2 linked regions of the Drosophila melanogaster genome follow. The main gene of each other region encodes a partner of the protein of the gene in region 2 in a complex. Each region holds a gene or a part of one and is shown on either strand. Other genes may lie near its edges. The genes, in order: thoc5 and thoc7.

Region 1 (4,744 bases), on a different chromosome or scaffold from region 2:
ACTGGTGCTCCAAGGAGCGGGCGTGGGCGTCCGCCATGCGGCTAAGTGCGTCTGCGCCGGCGAAGTGTCCACAAAAGTTGTTAAACAGCCATGCCGCCAATAACCTCCAGCAAAGTCGAAGGGCCTACGAGAGCACCAAAGCGGAGAGGCTGCCCGGGAACCCTAAGGAGAACGAGCGTAAGCCCGAGGACCTGGATAGAGCCTACGAGGTTCTGAGGACCACGCTACCAAAGCTGTTCGTGGAGCCCCTAGACTACTCCATTTACAGCCCGGGCCTAATCTTCCACAACAACATAACGGGCAAGCACACGGTGGGCCTGTACCACTACGTCAAACAGATCGCCATCCTGCGAACGGTTGGCCACCTGAAGTACGCCTACGTGAAATTCGAGGTGCTCAAGATCACGAAGCACCAGGACGACTACACAGTGCGGATAAGGTGGCGAGTGCGCGGCATTTCCGGCCTGAAGGTCATGTTCCAGTTCTGGAAGTACAAGCTCTGGCAACTGAAGGAGGTGCTGAAGGATCAGGAGGCCTGGTACGACGGCTACTCTGTCTGCTATCTGGGCGACGATGGGCTGATCGTCAAGCACGTCGTGGACAAAGTGATGCCGGACGAGAGTCGGGAGGCGGTTGAGAACCCTTCTGCGACGGCACTACCTCCCGGATCCTTGGCAGCGACCTCTTCCCAGAAGATCAACTGCCAATGAAGTCGTAGCTAGCTAGCTTTAAATGTTACTTATTTATTGTATTACTAATCGTAATAAACGCAACTGTGAGAACGTTTAGTAACCGCATTGGCGCATTGTGTTGTACAACATTCGTTATTCAACTGTCACTGCTTGAACGCGTAGACCGATCCCTTCTTGATGTATTTGTAGGGGCGTGAGCGGCTCCGCTTGGCGAAGGCGCTTATGTAAGGCTTCTCCTTGTTGTACTCAATGGTGTTTTGCATGGATCCCTCGGTTTCGAGGAATATATCGAAGCTGTAGATGGTGCGGAAGAGCTGCGCGTACAGGATGCAGTCGTTGGGCTCCAAATGTTTGGGCTGCAGGGAGTTGGTCCAGAACTCCATCATCTGAGGAATACAAGTTTAAAAGCTAATTGGAGGATAATACCTGAATAAGTTCAAACCTTGATCGCCGAATTGTTTTGCGCGGTAAGGCATCCGTTCCAGTGCACATTCAGAATCCATAGAGGCATTTCCAGTGGATAGTTACTCGGTATTCTAATAAAGCACTCCATTTTGGCCGATCCCCGGACGATGACAGCGCGGTAAGAGTTGTACGTAATACCCTTGTCCGCTGACGAAGAATTCAGTGCGTCTGAAATTTGCGAGTGAAGCTCCTCATGTGTGATGGCAGTCCATTGGACGAGACTGCACGACAGGCCGGCTGGATAGATGTTCTCCTGCAAGCTATACAAATCGATATCCTTGAAGGTCAGCCCGCGAATCTGCTGGCTTAAACGCTGCCAAGAGTTCAAGCGCCTGGCAATGCGGTCAATAATCTCCTTGTTGTTCTTATTCAAGTTCAGTTCGTGTTTGTACAGCATCGAACTGTTGACGGTTGCAATCGAGCACATACTTTGCAGCCAACAGAAGGGTTTTCCGTAGTCCTTGGCCTTGAGGTAGCGCACACATTCCTCGGCTGTTAAATCCGAGCTTCGTAGCTGAAAGAGCGTAATTTAATTGGTTGTCCAACGTTGGATAAGGAAGTTCTTACCTCGTATTGGATTCCCGGAATGGGTAATTCATTGCCCAAGTCATTGGGGTACAAATGCCGCAATAGGTGGTGAACAAAGTTTGTGTCACTGTGAAAAAATGCCTAGTTATTTATGCGATTTTTTCCTAGGTGTGTTCCAAACTTACCCCTGGCCGTTGGCATTCCTGGAGCAGTTAAGTTGGCCCCAGACAGTGGCACACTTGATAAAATCAAAGTAGCGAATCTGCAAAACGAGCTGATTCGATCCAGCCGCTCCAATCTTTAAAGTTTAGGTTAATAAATGTTTTGGAATGAGCAAACCATGTCATCCTACCGTCAAACAAATGTGTAGTGGGTGAGGAGCGAGTGAGTCGTCCAAGTTGTTTTTATCGGCAATCTTTTCCCGGTCTCCACTTTCCTTTTTAGTCTGTCTGTAGTTCAATGTGGAGCACTTTTTCTCCTTAAGCAACTCCTGCATTTGAGCCTCGCTCTCATAGCCAACCACCTCGGCGGTGAAGGACTGCTCCTCGCTGACCCGCTGCAGCGATTGCAGGACAATGAACAAAACGTAGAGCGGCTTGGGCAGGTACTTGACCACTGCGCTTAGCTTCCATTCCACGTCCAGGGATAGCTGGAGTGCATCGTGCAGCGGCTTTGTGGCGCTCTGCAGAGTGCGCAAGGCGGGTGCGAAGGAGACGTACCGCTGGGCGTGGCTAAGATTGTCCTGGAGCAGTTCCTGCTTGGAGCTCAGCAGGGCGCTGTACTGCTTGTCGAGTGCCTTCCGCAGACGCAGCTCGCAGTCGAGGCGATGAAGGTGCTGCTTGTGGCTGGACAGCTCCTCCGCGTCGTTGGGCATGTCTGGCAGCTCGCTGGAGTACTCGGCTTCCGAGAGCAGCTCCAAGCTGGTGTCCCTGCTCTTGAACTTCTGGCAGCGCACAATCTCCTTCTTCAGGTGGCTCACTTCGTACAGAAGATTCTGCAGCTGCAGCCGGCTGAGGTCCACCTTGCACTTTTCCAGGTGCAGCTTGTCGCGCCCCGCTTTGATCTTGTGCTTCACCTCGCGGTTGGCGTGCTTCAGAGCCACGAACATCAAGGTGGTGGCAATGCGAGCCTCATCCGTCGATTGCCCCTGCTCGTGACGGATGTGGACGGATTTAGAGCTGTACTCTGGCACGGAAATCGGACTTACCTTGCTCTTCGCCTCCTTAATTCCCTCTATGGCCTTTTGCAGCTGATCGAACTGCGTGTTCAATATTGTTTCCATTTTATTTGGCGAAATTGTAAATCAGAAGCCGCAAAAGTTGTTTTTATTAACAAAACTGATATAATGTGGCCAGGCTATCGAGTCGATAACATTCGCCGGTACTTTTCAAAATGATTTTAGTATATGCGCATACCCCACTGCTGCGGTCACACTTGGTAGCGGCTTTGTAAATATAGTTAAAAAACAAAATATATCCTTTAATATTTGCTGTAAGCTTAAGTTAATCTCTCCAAACTTGAAATAACACAATGCTGCGATTGCTCCAGAAGAGAACCAATCTCATAAAGCTAGTAGTACCCGGCCCCCGACTTCACCAGACGATTGCGCAAACAGCGATAAAGGTTGCATTAATATCCCACTGATTACATATAAAAATATGTTTTTATTTATAAAGTAATATTTGTTAATGCCGCACCTTTCAGGAAATCCCAGTGATAAAGCCCATCAGCACTCCGAAAAGCGACAAGACCGTCGGAAGATGGTTCCTGGGAGTCAGCGGCATGGTCTTCGTGGCCGTTGGTCTAGGTAACCAATAACAAAATGTAAAGTTTGTAGTTCCTTGCGAAAGTGAATCTCTTCCAGGCGGAGTAACCCGACTGACAGAGTCCGGACTGTCCATGGTCACTTGGAAGCTGACGGGTGAACGTATGCCCCGAACCCAGGAGGAATGGGTGCAGGAGTTCAATCTCTACCAGCAATACCCAGAGTACAAGCTGTGAGTACTCCCCAGATTCATCCAACGCCAGGAACTACATGCAAACTTCTGCTTTCAGAAAGAATGTGAATATGACCGTGGAGGAGTTCAAGTTCATTTTCATGATGGAGTACATGCACAGGATGTGGGGTCGTGCCATCGGCGGGTTCTTCCTTTTGCCCGCTGTTTACTTCTGGAGAAAGGGATACTTCTGTGCGAAGACCAAGAAGAGCGTCCTGCTGCTGGGCACACTGATTGGCCTGCAAGGTCTGATGGGATGGTACATGGTCAAGTCCGGGCTGGAAGACAGGTTCCAGGATCCCAACGACGTGCCACGGGTATCCCAGTATAGATTGGCCTCCCACCTGGCAGCTGCCTTCGTCCTGTACTCACTCTCCCTGTCAAAGGCCATGTCCCTGCTCATCCCCACGAACACATTCGTGATCCAAGCCAAGAAAGCATTTAATATCAAGGGGCTGACGCATTTGACGAAGGCAATGGTCCTGCTGACTGCCATTTCTGGAGCCTTTGTAGCCGGACTAGACGCCGGACTCGTGTACAACTCGTTCCCGAAGATGGGCGACAAGTGGATTCCCGATGACATGTGGACGTTTGCGCCCATACAGAAGAACATCACCGAGAATCCGACGACGGTGCAGTTCAATCACCGCATCCTTGGTATTAGCACAGTAACGCTGACCACCGCTCTGTGGCTGGTCACCAGAAGGATGCAGTTGCCCAAGCGCGCCAACTGGGCCATCAACGCCGTGGTGGCTATGGCCTGGACGCAGGCCACGCTTGGCGTAACCACCTTGCTTAACTACGTGCCCGTGCCTCTGGCAACGGCCCACCAGTCGGGCTCGCTTATTCTGCTGAGTTTCGCATTGTGGCTGTCGCACGAGGTTCGACTGTTGAAGTACCTTCCGAAGTAAATAAATAGGCGTTTATTTGTTGAACCAAAAATTTAATATCCTCGCCTTGATAATAACAACTATGAGTGGGGCAAATGTAATAGCAACAACCGTTTATTCATTCCTATTCAATATTCATTTTCACACTGCTTTTATCCTCCTGCAACTCCTT
Region 2 (3,758 bases):
GTTGGCTAAATAAATAGACGTAGAGCGTTCCTTCACTATGTTATCCAGTTCATTGTCCTCTATCAGGAAGTGCGAAACATCGGATATATGGACGCCAATCTCATATTCGTTGTCGCCTAGCTTCTCTATAGAAACGGCGTCATCCAAATCGCGAGCAGTCATCGGATCTATAGTAAATATGCACATCTTTCTTAAGTCTTTTCGTTGACGCAGATCCTCTTGGCTTATCGGAGGTGGCGGCTGGGAGTAAATGTCGATAAATCGTTGCTCAAATGGCTTTATATCCCGGAGACCGTTATGAAACAGAATTGCCTTAAGTTCGTCATCCAAATTACCCACGCGGCCAACCGGCTGGATTAGTTCAGCGATGCAGTGCCCATTGCAATCTGTCTCGAGTATATGGGCAAGGTATAAGAGGCCGGACACGTCTATTTGCTGCTTGTTTCCGATGTGGGCGGCACAGGCATCCTTCGGAACGTAGACCATGGGGACACGCAAATCGTACGGTCGGAATTTGTAGAATAGCTGGTCGTCACAGAGTTTGGTTGGGTTCGTAAACGATATGGTTCCCACGATCTGGCGGAGCTCAGTTCGTTTAGTTATTGCTATGACGAACGCTTTAGGGCAGTTGTCCGACGATATCACGACCACGTTGTCGGTATCGGACTCAGAGCCCTGGGACTCGGTATCGTCCGAAAGCTCCTCACCATCCGCTTTATAGGATATTATCATCAGTCGAAAGTATTATAAGTTTGCCGATAAACTTACCAAGAGATAATGAGGGCTTCCCACCAGAGATTTCACCAGACGAGGGCTCAGCTGTCTTTGAACTACCCTGAGCACCAGGGTTTAGCACGAATGCACGTACTTTGTCACCATCGAAGGCATAGCGCCTAGCCACTGGCAAGAGCACGATGCCATCTCGTTCGAGTGCTTCTCGATCAGTGGACATGATTATAAAGGCCTGTCTGTTGTTCTTGCGGTTAACCCGGATTTCCTCTTCTACAATGCGCCCATAACCCGCCGCAACTAGTCTCTGCGCATGCGCTTCCAGGTCGGAGAAGTTACCTTTGAAAATCAAGTCTTCCGACAACTGGTGATCCATACCCACGTGACGTTGGACAATCTTGTTTATGTACGACCGCATGGCCTCTAGTTCGGTTTTTTGCGATTGGGTCCCATTGCTACCGGATCCATCGTTTTTCTTGCTATTGCGTTGCCTTCGTCCTAGTTTCGGTTGCTGCTGTACATGACTTCCATTGTTTGTAGCAGAGACCTCAGAATCGTGGCGATGCCGCCCCTGGTAACCAACCTGTTGCGGATGTGCTTCTGACCTGGTCTGACTCCACTCGAGCTGAGAAAGGATCTCGTTTTTACGTATCAGCTGGCAGGCATACGCGTTAACATCTGGGGAGAGGTGTGAAAGATGTTTGACCATATCCTGAAGAGCTTCCACCTCATTTCGAAGAGCCCGCTTCGACTTCTTTTTCGCTATTAACCGATGGCTGGGACTAGACACGACGTGCAAATGCGAAAGTGGCTGAAGGCAGGGAATCTGCATGGTCGCCTGGTAGGAGGCGAATGCTACGTGGTAGGGCAATTGCATAGCTACCGGCGCTGGCGTGGATACTGGCACACCGTAAGGAATGGCCTGCCTGCTGTTGCTCCGAGCAGATGGTTGGGATTGGTTGGGATGTGGCCGTGGTTCCGCCCAGCGCATTAGTGGCTGCAGCGGAATAACGGCATTGTTGGCCGATAGGTCTTTGCTGGATGCATTAGACTCCATTTCCCTCTGCATCTGCTGGAGGCGGGCAGCAAGGCGTTGTGAGCGCTGTCGGAGGCCCTCAATCCTTCTGCAATCTCGGTCCGCATCCACGTTGACGCTTGACGTTTCCGACATTCTGCAAGAAGTGCACTTAGTTAATGGGATTCGCTGATGTCCGAAAGTGTACGGCACTACACTTGGCTATGGGCGGGATATAAAGGGTAAGGCATAATTCAATACTTTCTCCAAATTAAAATGATAGGACAAGTACAGTAGGACCGTACTGCGTGGTATGTCGGAGCAGTGTCAGCTTCGGCCACACTCCGATACGCTAGTTCGGAAATTAGTGGAGATGAATGACGGTAAGTTGTTTTTGTTTATTTTCGCATTTGGGAATAGATATTTAAACTGATCTTCCAGAAGAAATCATAAAGCAGCGCCTGCTGATTGACGGGGATGGAACTGGAGAGGATCGGAGAATAGTAGTGTTGCTGAAACAGTTCTTGAAGTGGGCCAGTGACTCGCTGGACAGCAAGTAAGAAATTGGATATGTGTGTATTCAAAACATGGTGTACATATCTCCTCTTTTCCGAATTACAGTCCCATCATGTACGACCGACTGATGGCCCAATTCGCCCAGTGCAAGCTCACTGCGTTAAAGAATGTACAAACTCTGCAGATGATCGCCGGTGAGCGTGACAACTACACACAACTAGTTGAACACCACGAAGAAAGTATTGTTTTGGCTAAAGCGGAAATCGAATCCAGTAAAAAAGAGCTAATCACTGCCAAGCAGATTCGCAAGAACAAGATGGAGTACGACCTGCTGGCCTCGCTCATCCAGGACCAACCGGACCGCAGTGAAACACAGCGACATATTGAGACCATTAGGAGGGAGATTGACGACTTGGTGCAAAAGAAGCTAAAGATGGAGCGCAAGTTTCAGAAACGACGCAATGACTTCACTTTGCTGATGTACACGATTCACGAGCTGGAACAGCAGCTGGACCAGGACAGCTCATCCTCGGCATCCTCCTCGTCCAGCGATTGCGATGCCCGCTCTGAGCCGGACCTAGACGACAATGGGATCATGGAGGTAAGCGATGAAGACGACGATCTCAACAATAGCACTCCCACAAAGTTCGACGGAGCCCGCGGCGAGCCCAAATATCACTCAGTCTCTACTGAGGACTCTAAAGCCATGTCCGTAGAAGAGGACACGGTGCTTGAGCTAAGCATCGACAAAGATGAGCACGACGTGGATGTAGCTGTTGCCAATTAGGTTAGAAGCGCTAGCATGTACAATAAAAACAAAAAAATAAAATGTCATGAACTATAATATACAAATTCAACTGTTGTTTCGAAATTCCTTCGTTTTTATTTCCAATTTAGACTTGCGCCAAAGACGATATTTAAGGGTTATAAAATTTAATTTTAATATATTTTTATTTTACTTGCATATATACTAGAAATAATTCCGAAATCCCAGGAGGTATTTTTAAAACGTATTTACTTTTGTCCGGCGTGCAGTCACACTAAAAAAGCTACGAAGAGGAAGAATACAATAAGAGGAAAATTACAAGTTTCATTAGCCATCTGCAGAATTACCGCACACCTTATGAACGCACAGTGTGCGCGCATCTGCAGTTTACATTGTTAAACAATCAAATAATGGCTGACGACAAAAGGTAGGTTAATTTTACTAAGCCGACCGCACGTGTGTGTATTGACCTGGGCTGCTCCCCTCTTGTACCGAATAGCTACGACTCCAGCAACAACAGCGAGACCGAAGAGCGTCGGGCCAAGCACAAAAAGGCTAAAAAGCACAAAAAACATAAAAAATCCTCGACTGGCAAGACCGAGAAGGACAGGCATGTCCACAAGAAGCAGAAGAAGGCAAAAAAGCGCCCCCACCGAACAAGCGAATCCACAAACGAATCGGACGCCCCGGAAAACGCAAAGTTAAAGCTATCACAAAATTGCGGGCTGAGCA

Evidence for each region.
Region 1: thoc7 (region 2) and thoc5 share a complex: the UniProt entries of both Drosophila melanogaster proteins name them as parts of the THO complex.

What each region holds. Positions count from the first base shown.
Region 1 is NT_033778.4:23,952,387-23,957,130, reverse strand, and holds thoc5 (thoc5), read right to left. Parts: upstream 3,041-4,744; 5' UTR 2,968-3,040; coding exon 2,893-2,967; intron 2,833-2,892; coding exon 2,038-2,832; intron 1,984-2,037; coding exon 1,871-1,983; intron 1,813-1,870; coding exon 1,725-1,812; intron 1,672-1,724; coding exon 1,135-1,671; intron 1,079-1,134; coding exon 836-1,078; 3' UTR 725-835; downstream 1-724. Other genes in the region: CG16787 (uncharacterized protein), read left to right, coding at 1-710; CG3803 (uncharacterized protein), read left to right, coding at 3,216-3,308, 3,390-3,492, 3,550-3,682, 3,741-4,593; Stoml2 (stomatin like 2), read right to left, coding at 4,697-4,744. UniProt on the Drosophila melanogaster protein: The THO complex is required for cell proliferation and for proper export of heat-shock mRNAs under heat stress.
Region 2 is NT_037436.4:210,987-214,744, reverse strand, and holds thoc7 (thoc7), read left to right. Parts: upstream 1-2,057; coding exon 2,058-2,127; intron 2,128-2,185; coding exon 2,186-2,300; intron 2,301-2,365; coding exon 2,366-3,047; 3' UTR 3,048-3,109; downstream 3,110-3,758. Other genes in the region: Dis3l2 (Dis3 like 3'-5' exoribonuclease 2), read right to left, coding at 1-713, 769-1,901, 1,961-1,995; Prp4k (Pre-mRNA processing factor 4 kinase), read left to right, coding at 3,437-3,453, 3,526-3,758. UniProt on the Drosophila melanogaster protein: The THO complex is required for cell proliferation and for proper export of heat-shock mRNAs under heat stress.